3 linked regions of the Bombyx mori genome follow. The protein of the gene in region 2 purifies or fractionates together with the protein of the main gene of each other region. This does not show direct contact. Links are inferred from orthologs where the notes say so. Each region holds a gene or a part of one and is shown on either strand. Other genes may lie near its edges.

Evidence for each region.
Region 1: the proteins of intraflagellar transport protein 81 homolog (region 2) and intraflagellar transport protein 74 homolog purify together in Homo sapiens (affinity purification with mass spectrometry; 3 studies listed by BioGRID and IntAct, counting the BioPlex papers as one, with this or other methods). This does not show direct contact. The link is inferred for Bombyx mori from reciprocal best matches to the Homo sapiens genes IFT81 and IFT74.
Region 3: the proteins of intraflagellar transport protein 81 homolog (region 2) and intraflagellar transport protein 88 homolog fractionate together in Homo sapiens (co-fractionation; 3 studies listed by BioGRID and IntAct, with this or other methods). This does not show direct contact. The link is inferred for Bombyx mori from reciprocal best matches to the Homo sapiens genes IFT81 and IFT88.

What each region holds. Positions count from the first base shown.
Region 1 is NC_085111.1:14,773,213-14,776,690, reverse strand, and holds part of intraflagellar transport protein 74 homolog, read left to right. Parts: intron 1-217; coding exon 218-394; intron 395-727; coding exon 728-853; intron 854-1,141; coding exon 1,142-1,243; intron 1,244-1,368; coding exon 1,369-1,674; intron 1,675-2,243; coding exon 2,244-2,358; intron 2,359-3,478. UniProt on the Homo sapiens protein: Component of the intraflagellar transport (IFT) complex B: together with IFT81, forms a tubulin-binding module that specifically mediates transport of tubulin within the cilium. Binds beta-tubulin via its basic region. Required for ciliogenesis.
Region 2 is NC_085116.1:10,003,305-10,006,963, forward strand, and holds part of intraflagellar transport protein 81 homolog, read right to left. Parts: intron 3,163-3,659; coding exon 3,031-3,162; intron 563-3,030; coding exon 362-562; intron 1-361. UniProt on the Homo sapiens protein: Component of the intraflagellar transport (IFT) complex B: together with IFT74, forms a tubulin-binding module that specifically mediates transport of tubulin within the cilium. Binds tubulin via its CH (calponin-homology)-like region.
Region 3 is NC_085119.1:6,950,837-6,954,971, forward strand, and holds the start of intraflagellar transport protein 88 homolog, read left to right. Parts: upstream 1-1,217; 5' UTR 1,218-1,301; coding exon 1,302-1,517; intron 1,518-2,040; coding exon 2,041-2,183; intron 2,184-2,638; coding exon 2,639-2,765; intron 2,766-3,077; coding exon 3,078-3,182; intron 3,183-3,932; coding exon 3,933-4,046; intron 4,047-4,130; coding exon 4,131-4,135. UniProt on the Homo sapiens protein: Positively regulates primary cilium biogenesis. Also involved in autophagy since it is required for trafficking of ATG16L and the expansion of the autophagic compartment.

The sequences.
Region 1 (3,478 bases), on a different chromosome or scaffold from region 2:
ACACGAATGCACCGGACGTCTTATCCGTTAGGCCACAACGACTTCAAAAAGCAGCTAATCCTTATCCTCTTTTTCTAATCTTTACTTAATCATTCCTTAATACAAACACAGAGAAGACCGCAAAATGAAATCCGGGTGCCACCGGGTGTCTTTAAAACTTTTTTTTTTTTTTCGTATGCAATTTTATGCAATCGTATGCAATATATATTGATTTCAGGAACAATCGACGATCACAAAGATACTGGCCGAAATGACGGTGGAGCAAAAAGATCAGTATAATGAATTGCAAACTACGGCTGCAGCATTAAGAGAGGAAGTGGAGCAGAGCAGAACGCAATTAGATCTCTTGAACAGAGAGAAAGAAGAATTTGCTCGGGAAATATCGGGATCGCAGGTAATTGTTCAACATCAACATCGATATTGTCCGTTTTTTTGTTATAAGTTCAGCGCAGGAGCTTGCAGCCCATTTGACACATGTGACATGTGGTCAGTGGACCGCACAATAAGACGACAAATAGAAACGCATAACTGCCTCGTAATACAAATAGGTAGGTCGATAATAGTTTATCCATTTACACAAAAAAAGTGGATAGTACGAAAGAAAAAACTAATATTCTAAAACATTCTCAAAATACTGCCAAGGCTTATGTTACCCACAACATTGACTTACAACAGTCGTAGCTATTCGAATCCAATAAGTGACTTTAATAGAAGCACCGTTTCCTAGATAAAAGTGCACCTTCTAGAACTACATCGAAGGCTGGTCGCCGTCGAAGAAAAACGCGACAACATGAGAAACGAAATAAACAATCGATTGGATCCGCAGGAAGAAAGGGAGAAGTTACTGTCCCAAGTATGTTCATAACAATCATTAAACAATTTCAAACGACAAAATAAATTCAGAACCATCTACTAAAAGTCCATTATCTCAAAGATATGTTGATATACCTGACTCATTATTTAAAATTAAAGCAACCGAAGATCATTTACTTTCTTAAACGTTCGTCCCGACTACAGAGTCAATTATTCTGAGAAGTTTGTCATTTTAATAGATGAAAATCAATGTCAAAGTTTCGTTTTTTTTAATTACATTTTTATCAGTCAGTATTCCTGATTCATTTTAATCTAGTAAATATCTCAGGTGCGAGAAGATAACGCCGCCATAGCGGTATTGGACAACAACGCTACGAATTTGAAAGAACAGATCAAGAAAGTTCAAGAATTGATTGAGCAGTCTGAACAGGTTGGTTATTTTGATATTAAATGATTTTCCATTAAAGCCAATCTATGAACTAAACGAACTTGGAATCTACTCATCCGTGTTTCTCAATTTTTCCCTTTGACATTTTCAAATAAAATATATTTTAGGATCTCGAAGAAGGCAACTCCGAACGCCATCAGAAATATCGCGAATTGAAAAAGCGAGAAGAAACAATGGACTCGTTCATGGAAACGTACGAAGAAAATCTGAGAAATGAACAAAATAAAATCGATCAATTGGAAAATGATATCGTGTTCGCTTTAGAGCACAGCAGTTCCAATATTGACTTAGATCTTAGCGAAATAGATAGTTTAAAGCAAAGGGAAGGCTACACGTCAACATATGATGAAAATAAGAAATCCATCGATGCACTCACGAAAGATTACGAACGTTTTCAAGCAAATTTGAAAAAGGTAAAGTTTTATAATCTAATAGCTGTACCCGTCTGCTTCGCTGGGCATTTAAAATTAACATTATTATTTCTCACCCCACAAAGATTCTCATCATTAACGCCCCCGCAACTGGTGTAGGGAGTCCAACACTCATATAAATATTAGCCTATCCATTAAGTACATGTACTTTCTACACGAATACCAAGTTTCAAGTCAATCGGATGCACGGTTCAGTAGTTATAGCGGAACATCCGTAAAAATCACTATAGATTTATATATTAAAGTAGGTATAGGTTTTTAGTATATGACATTTGAGGCCGACCAAATCACGGTCGTGGCAATTCTTAATATTTTTGTACTTTAAATAAATAGAAAATGATGTTTCATTCATTAAGAAGACGCGCTTATGATCATCACAGCATCTTCGTCATCATAACGAAATTACAATTGGCTCTCATTGCTTCTAATAATTCGTTTGAGAAACACAAACACTCATTGTTGCAACTATATTTGTTTTGAACAGGAAAAAGCGGATTTGGTTTATGTAGATCAAATGGAAATTGCGTATCGTATTAAGAATTATTTTTCAGGCAACAGCAACACGAGAGAGGTTGGCTACTGAATTACATACTCTGCCGGAAAAGACGCGCGTCATGAAAGAAGAGTTGGTCACACTGAGCGACTTGGAAATGCTTCGAGAGCAAGGTACATAAGTGTTGTTTTTTCGGATTAAATCTTATAGCGCCATTGCGTAGTTGTGTTTCTATAAAATACTGTACTTTTTTTTTTTTATGATTGAGGTGGCCCGAAGGCCTTTCCAGTTTCACCAGGACAGGTGGGCGAGCAAAGGCTCAGCCAAGAGGGGTGGGATTTGCTAACAACTGCCCGAGCGCCTCCGAAGGAGACCTAACAACTCAAGAGCAATTGTTTCGCGAATGAATCTACTACCGGATCGGAATCGCGACCCGCTGAGAAGATCCGGCGAGAAACTCAGCGGGCTGATGCATGGGTTAGGTTGCACGTCGACCTCTTTGTCGAGTTCGACGAGTACGGTTACCGGGGTCCCTAAGCCTGCCCCTAGTATTAGAGCTGAAGGCATCTAATGCAAAGGTTATTGGATCTGATGGATCCGTAAGGACGTGTCTAGGGCGTCGACGGTGACTGGCTCCTGCATGATCAGGATTCGGGGAGTAGTCAGCGGCGGCAACGATAAGGCGATTATCATGACGCATAGCCTTATCGAAGTATCGTTCCGACGCTGACTTCATGTATTTCCGAATTGATTCGAGGCCCAGGTCGTCGTGTAGGTCAACGTTCCTCACGAACCACGGAGCCCCGACAGCTAACCTGCAAAAGCGGGATTGTAGGGATTGGAGGGTGTCTATGTGTGTGCGGGCCGCGTGAGCGAACACCACACTCGCGTAAGTCATGACGGGCCTTATGCAAGTTTTGTAAAGTGTCACCTTGTTCCGAAGGGACATTTTACTCCGCTTACAGATCATGGGGTAGAGTCTACCGAGAATAAACGCGGCACGGTCACGGATTGATTTTATATGCGGGCGGAATGTCATCGATGCATCCAGGGTAACGCCCAGGTACTTGACCTTCCTGGCCCAGGGTATGGGTTGTCTAAAGAGAGTAATCGGGGGTGTGAGATTCCTCCTCCTAATCCGGGAGGAAATCCGTGTGGAGCTTCCCCTCTGAAATAGTACCACAGTACTTTTCGCTGGGTTGATGTCTATGCGCCATTTTCGGAACCACTGTCCTAGGGCTAGGGCTGCGCTCTGAAGCTTCTTCGCGATTAGGGACTTATTTCTACTAGAAT
Region 2 (3,659 bases):
CTTGAATTATTTGTGGAAGTCCAGAGAAGGTTTAAAAGGTAGATAAATATGAAAATGCTCAGAATTAAATAAAAATAACAATTTTTCCTTTGATGTGTCCTCCGTCGGACGGATTCCTTTTGTTTGTTTTAAGTTTATTGTATACAAAAGTTTAGGTCTTGGCACTACGAAGTCTGCCGGGTCAGCTAGTAAATAAAAAATTTTATTGCAACTGAAAACAAATTTATCTTTTAAATCCCTCGGAGAAAATAGATATTTTGTACGCGCGCACAATGTTGGAAACGATATCAAATTAATTTTAGCCGACGCCCGTCTCCCAGACAGACAGATTGATTGAGACAACGTTCCAATCGAAATTTACCTGAGATTGAAGATCGGCGAGCGTCGCCTCGTGCTGCTTCAGAGCGGCGGCGAGCTCGTGAACCCGCGTCGCGCTCGTCTCCTTGTTACGTCTGATCACGGCGGCCTGTTGTCTGAATGGAGCCAATTTGTCCTCTTGAGGCCCAGAGGTTGCTAGCTTCCGCTGAACTAATTGCTCCATTTCCCCGTTCACAACAGCGATCTATTATAATATATGAATATTTCAAATTTAAACATAACCACCAGCGGCACTCGTGGCTTCGCTCGTAACTAAATACAATTTGATAATCTCTATATATAAAATTGAATTGCTGTTCGTTAGTTTCGCTAAAACTCGAGAACGGCTGTACCGATTTGGCTAATTTTGGTCTTAAATTATTTGTGGAAGTCTAGATGAGGTTTAAAAGGTAGATAAATATGAAAATGCTTGGAATCAAATAAAAATAACAATTTTGTTTTTCCTTTGATGTTTCCTCCCGTCGGACCGATTCGTTTTATTTGTTTTAAGTTTATTTTATACAAAAGTTTAGATCTTTTATTTATCGATTGAGGCAATACGAAGTTTGCCGGGTCAGCCAGTAAAACATAAAAGCTATAAGACGATTCAGAAAGGTAACTACGTAAGATAGGGTAGGTAGGCAGCGGCTTGGCTCTACCCCTGGTATTGCTGAAGTCCACGGGCGACGGTAACCACTCACCATCAGGTAGGCCGTATGCTCTTTTCCCTACAGGGTCAATAAAAATAAATAAATATATTTTTAGGTGAACAAACATATACATACATATGTATAAATACATACTGACGTACAATCTCATTTATATAGATATGTATATATATATGTAAATGAAGCTCTCTTGGCCCTTCATTAAATATATTAAATTTCCCGCGCATTAGCTTCGACCATCATAGATAATACTACTAAGATTTACTGGTGGTAGGACCTCTTGTGAGTCCGCACGGGTAGGTACCACCACCCTGCCTATTTCTACCGTGAAGCAGTAATGCGTTTCGGTTTGAACGGTGGGGCAGCCGTTGTAACTCTACTGAGACCTTAGAACTTATATCTCAAGGTGGGTGGCGCATTTACGTCGTAGATGTCTATGGGCTCCAGTAACCACTTAACACCAGGTGGGCTGTGAGCTAGTCCATCCATCAAACTAATAAAAAAAAATGAGAGAATTTTAAATAATAATAAATGAAGGGCCAAGAGAGTTTCATGTAAATATATGTAAAGATACTACATTCCTTTATAGTATATTTTTACAGCGCTCTATAGCTCTTATGTAATCATATAGATGGCCCTGTCGATAATGGTGACATGCATTGATATTGAAGGGTTGACATCTGCCATGTTCGGGCTTATTGTCGTTTCTTTGTTTTCAGGTGAGATACCTATTATAGGTCCACAATGTGATCTGTTGTGTACGTTTTAAGTTATTAAAATAATAAAACCTTTGTTTTCAGAGCAACGCCATGTTTATTTCAACTTACAATTCCTATTTATAATTCCTAGTAAATTAAATAGAAAAAATGCTATATATATATGTATATAATATGTTGATTTCATATGAATTCGATATGTTGTTCCAAAGATAAAAATCCCTACCACCAGCGCCGCCTGTCCGACACTAACGTAACAATGTTCGTCGGAGTGAGCATGTCGCCCTTTTATGTATGTTTGCAAAGTTTCATATAAATTAGACTAACTAATCTCGAGTTTTAGGTGAACATACATACATTCTCTTTTGTATAAATAGATTACTTCCCGAAGTGTTTTTGATTGTTACTTGAATTCTACTGTCTAAAATATTGATATAAATAAATTTTAACCGATAGTATTTAGTGAATTACAATTATATAATAATAATTTACATTACATTAAGCAAAATCTCGTACAATCAAGTTCAATAGTTATGTAGGTATCTACTTACACATGTATGAACAAACAATATCTACGCTCCACTCTGGATGCCCTAATTTACTCTCAATGTAAATAACCTCATACGGAAAATTCATAACTTCGAAGCAATTACTGAGCAAATTCAATATTAACTTATAACCAAATAAAATGTTGTTTTATTTTGCGTAGGTTCAAATTTGACGTTTTAAAATTAAAATCATTTTATTATTTACTGTTTTCAAAGGTTTCTGTCCCTATGTCACTATGTATGCTTAAATCTTTAAGACTACGCAACGGATTTTGATGCGGTTTTAATAGATAGAGTGATTGAAGAGGAAGATTTGTATGTATAATAACATCCATTAAATAGTGGAGAAATCAATAATAAATAACAGTTTCCGAAGCGAAGCGAGGGCGGGTCGCTAGTAAGTAATAATACAGACAGGTAACTGTCTATTACTAATAAAGGACCTCGTTCATTCTAGAACTTGACGGTGTGAAGCATCTAAAAACTCACTGTAAATGAAAGCAGTGGGTTCAGTATAAAAAGGGTCAATACTTGTTGCGGTAAGGGGGAACAGTAAAAGTAAAATTCATTGAACGAGAATACTTCCGTTCCGGTTTTAAAAGTGGCACGGCACAGCCTTTATGTGTAAAGGCAGTGAGATAGATATATAAATAAATAAAACTCAGTTCGGTTGCAACACGTAACTGTGATGAAAGTAAGTTTTTTAAATATAAACGAACTATAGATAAATATAAATAAAACCTTATCTTGAACCACATGTAGATCCGATCGACTAGGATGTTGCTCGGCGGCGATGTTTTGCATAATGTTCAATTCCTTCTGTATGTGAGCTGCCTCTTGTGGTAATTTTTCTTTCACCAAATAACTGTTCAACTTAAAAATGAAAATAAAAAGTTATCGTATAATTCTATGTAAATTGTGGCTAAAAAAGGTTGAGATTTTTTACATTTTAATTGAAAACGAAATCATTTAGAGCCCAAGTAAAATAAAGGTTCCTAGTCTAATTTAACACATTTAGCCACTGACAACATCATATGTTGTAATTGGTGTTTAAATTGGTATGAAAGTCTTTACTGTTTTTTTTAATTTTAATCCGGATGCCTATTATAAAAGCCGCAATCCGTATATCAACAAATATAGAAAAATTGTTAGGTAATCTCTCTTTCTGTCTTGGGTCTCTAGGTTGGCACTGAGCGGCCCAAACCGGTAAAGTAAATTCTCTAAATAAATAGTATATAAGGTACATACATAAATGATGAAATGATATTTAAAACGATTAAATATAAAGAAAATACAGGTTCTCGCATTGAAACGATCAATCGATTCATCAAATTAATGGCAACCCTACCTTTAAACCATATCGCATTATT
Region 3 (4,135 bases), on a different chromosome or scaffold from region 2:
GAAAAAGTGTACAAAAATATGAATACTGCATTTCTAACTAGTCTTTTAGGGTCACGAATTAATTGACATCCTTATTTTTTTTTTATTTGATAATTTATGTAGACTATACGATCGGATTATCATGAAAAGCAAAATCATATTAATGTGTACATAGTTTGTAACGTTTGTTATTGCTTTCGACGAAGACGAATAGAGTTTTTGGAGAACATTTATTTTTATATCCAGTTTATTCAGAATGTTTATGTGATTGGATAAAGATCGGTCAGGAGCAGCGCGCGGAAGTTGTGGTTCGTTCATTGTTTTACGTATTTTCAATTTATTATTACTATATAAGTGTAGTAGTTTATAGATTACTTTTTGTGACGGATATTTTTTCTGTAGTCAAACAGGAATCTGTAATTTTCAGTGTCTTCCAACACTGTTCTTGTACAAGAAGGGTGTACCAGTTTGTCATGTGATTTAAATCTTTTCAGTTAGTTGTTAAATTTAGTTTGAAATTATTAATTTTGTTTAAATTGGTGTGACGATATTGAAATGGACTTGAATGTATTGATTACTGAACATGTCATAAATTTTAAATATAGAGATTGAAAATTTACGTTTTTTTTTTTACCTTAGCGAACAAATCTGTTACCTCCGAGGCCTAGTCGGTAAGACAACGTTGAAAAAAACATTTACCGTATTTTTTTCCCTACTTTAGCTGATAAGCCTTGAGAGGCTATGTCAGCTTAACCTAACAAGTACATGAGCTCGCGGAGCTATAACCTGACGACAATGCTAACACTAACCCTAACAAGAGCAGTGCTTCGCAGAATCTACCGCCAGATCAGAAACGCGACCCACTGAGAAGATTTAGCGAGAAACTCGGTGGGCTGTGTGTGTAAGTTACTTTACCCGCCGAGCCCTTTGTCGCAAGCGATGGGTTTGACGAGAACGATGGCCGGTACCTACCTAAAAGCCCCGTTAGTGGATCAGGAGGATCCGAAATGACGTGTTTAGGGCTTTACCGTACAAAGCGGAATCGTACAACGAATAGGACCTGTTAAAGTTACATATTTAGGTATACGTAAATAATTATTGGTTTTATTAGATACCTTACTGAAACTAGAAAGGCCTTCGGGCCACCAGTAATGTTATTAACAAGAAAAAAAAACCGTTTGATCCATAGAGACTGAACAATTGTCTTTTTTGTTTATATCAGCCGGTTGACATGGTAACGGCGTCACAACATACGTATTAAACAGGTCGGGATACTCCAATAAGATTTCACTTGATAAATTTATTTTTAAGAGATTTAAGAGATGCTAAGTTCTCGGTACTACAGCGCGTCCCGACTGGGCACCGACGCAAAACCTCGTACGGCCATCATTGTTGATGAAGATGACGAACTTTATTCCGGGTTTAATGAAGTGGCTCCGGCCCTGGACACGCGGAACCTGAGGGAAGACGAAACGTTCCAGGAAACTTTGAGAACGGCTGGGATCGGGAGAAAGTTACCCAGCCGTACGGGCACTGGGGTCAGTATTCATTCAATTCTCCACCACTTGATATTATTTATTAAATACTAGCGACCCGACTTCGCTTCGCTTCGGAAACTGTAATTTATTATTGATTTATCCACTATTTAATGGATGTTATTATATATAATATAAACCTTCCTCTTCAAGTACTTTATCTATTAAAAAAACCGCATCCAAATCCGTTGCGCAGTTTTAAAGATTTAAGCATACATAGGGACAGAGAAAGCGACTTTGTTTTATACTATGTAGTGATTACATATTTGCATCTTGTAAATCTATTAAAAAAAGTATATATTTTCATTGCTGGACTTTGTAATATTCTCAAGTGTAGGTATATATGGCGTAATTGAGACGATCATGTTAACATATTTACTAAAATGGTGGTACATGTTCGATCCGACTCCTTACCATCGTAGCCATCAGCCTAATTCTGTTCACTCAGTCAGAATCAGAGTCTTAATCTCCAGGTAGACTGCGCTACTGCTAACGCGTCTTAGAGGAACGTAATTATAATTGGTAGATGGTGCGGCTTGGCACGGTAAGCATGCGAGACGTGGGTTCGAGGTCCGGTACATCAGCACGTCCCGTGACCGCACTGCGCGCTGCTGGGTACACCTCGGCGTCACGCGATCGACCCATGCCCACTCAACATTTGGAAGACAGGTGTATTTAATCATTTTTCAATCAACATCAAATTTCTAAATACGAAATAACAGATTACTAATTGAAATTTAATTTATTTATTAAATTCGACATTAAAAAGTTAGAAATATTAGTATTCGAGTAATGATGAAAATTCAACTATAATCACTGATTCCTCAATTCGTAAATGTAATAAAAAGTAAAGTTAAATTTCATACGTAGATATTTTTATTATATATATTTATTATATATAGTATCTATTATTATTTAAATATGTTATTATTTATACCTTGTTTTTAGAATATCAATGAATTGTTCCAAAATGTTGTACAAAATATTTAAATTCTTCCTAGAGTACCAGTAGTAGTCGACATTGATATTTAGCAAGTAAATTTAGTTTGACTGGCTCCCAAACTTTGGCCTGGATTTTAGAAACACTTGTAGGTGCTCTTAAATTAAATTGATGCGTGTTACAGCGTCGAAGATCGCGTTAAGCAAATGGAAGCACGAATCATGGCATTGGTGGAGGAGTCTTGTTTACTGAGCGCCCGACCAGATCCTGATGATGATAGTACTACTAGAAAAGAACATGACTTGGGCCAGGTTAGCTTTTGTTGAATTTTTAATAAGATAACAAATTGTATAATGATTATTTGGTTTATACACATAATAGAAGGCGATCTGTGATTGAAAAATGATTATAAAGCGATGCGACTCTACGGAACCTTAAATCCCTTGACTATTTTTTTTTTCAACGATACTACGACCCTCGAACGTTTTTATCAATGACGTACGCGATGTAAAAATTAAATTCTTGTAAAAAAAACTTAATCTCGTCTGTTGTAACTATATAACCTATGGAAGTACGTAAATTTATCTAATGTAAAAAATAAAATATTAAACGTTATTTTAAAGGCACTTGCAAAGGCTCAAGAGGCGTCCACGATGGAACGACAGCTTATTCGCATGCAAGAACAAGCGAACTTGGGTGACACTCACAACTTGGATTTGACTTTTGCTGTATGTACGACTTAACTTCCAACTTTTTGTATGACAACTGCGGAAAAATAGGCAGGATTATCGTACTTATCCGTGTGGGCTACCAAGAAACTTTACCATTAGCAATTACGTAAATTATATTAGCAATACTACAAAATCTAAAGTATAAAAAAATATTTTAAAGCAGCCATAGCCGCTTTGTAAGCTGAATAAAGTTTTAAACCTAAACCTTGTCACATTGCCCGTGACAATCCTTCACTGTCACAGACTATGTATGAAATACACCCATTTATTAACTCTTTGACTGCCATGTAAGCCACTGGTGCCCCACGTGACGTGTTGATTTATGTTACTAAGGCGGTGGAACATCTAGTAGACTCTGGGAAAGACGAGTCCGAAGATACTGAGAATGAATATATTGCGAAGAGACCTTAAAAACTAAAAGGTACATTAATAGAGAAGAAAAGGTAAAGTTAGGCAATCCAAGTGCCTTCGTAAAAGAAATCGACATCATTAGTTCAGTGCGCCACGTAGGGCACCGGTGACCTACAGGGCAGTCAAAGGGTTAAATCTACTCGCTGCTACCCGTGATACGCAGATGGTACTACTTCAAAAACCTTCCCTGAAATTCTAGCATTTGTGCTATTTAATTTCCAAGTCCATCATGTGATGTGAGCGATGTTCGTATGCATAGATAATTAAACATACAATTAGGTATTATATCTTGTTTAGAGATAAAAATAAATTCAATATTATTATGATAAATTGCAGGTGCTTTGTAACTTGGCGGATCAGTACGCACTGAACGAGATGTACACTGAAGCACTGAACACGTATCAGTTGCTGACTAGAAACAAGTTGTTTCCGCATGCTAACCGACTCAAGGTACCATAAGAATATAGAGCTTCACATTATTCTTATTGAAAAATAACTTTACGACATAATAACTTATATTTCTTGTATGTACAGGTGAA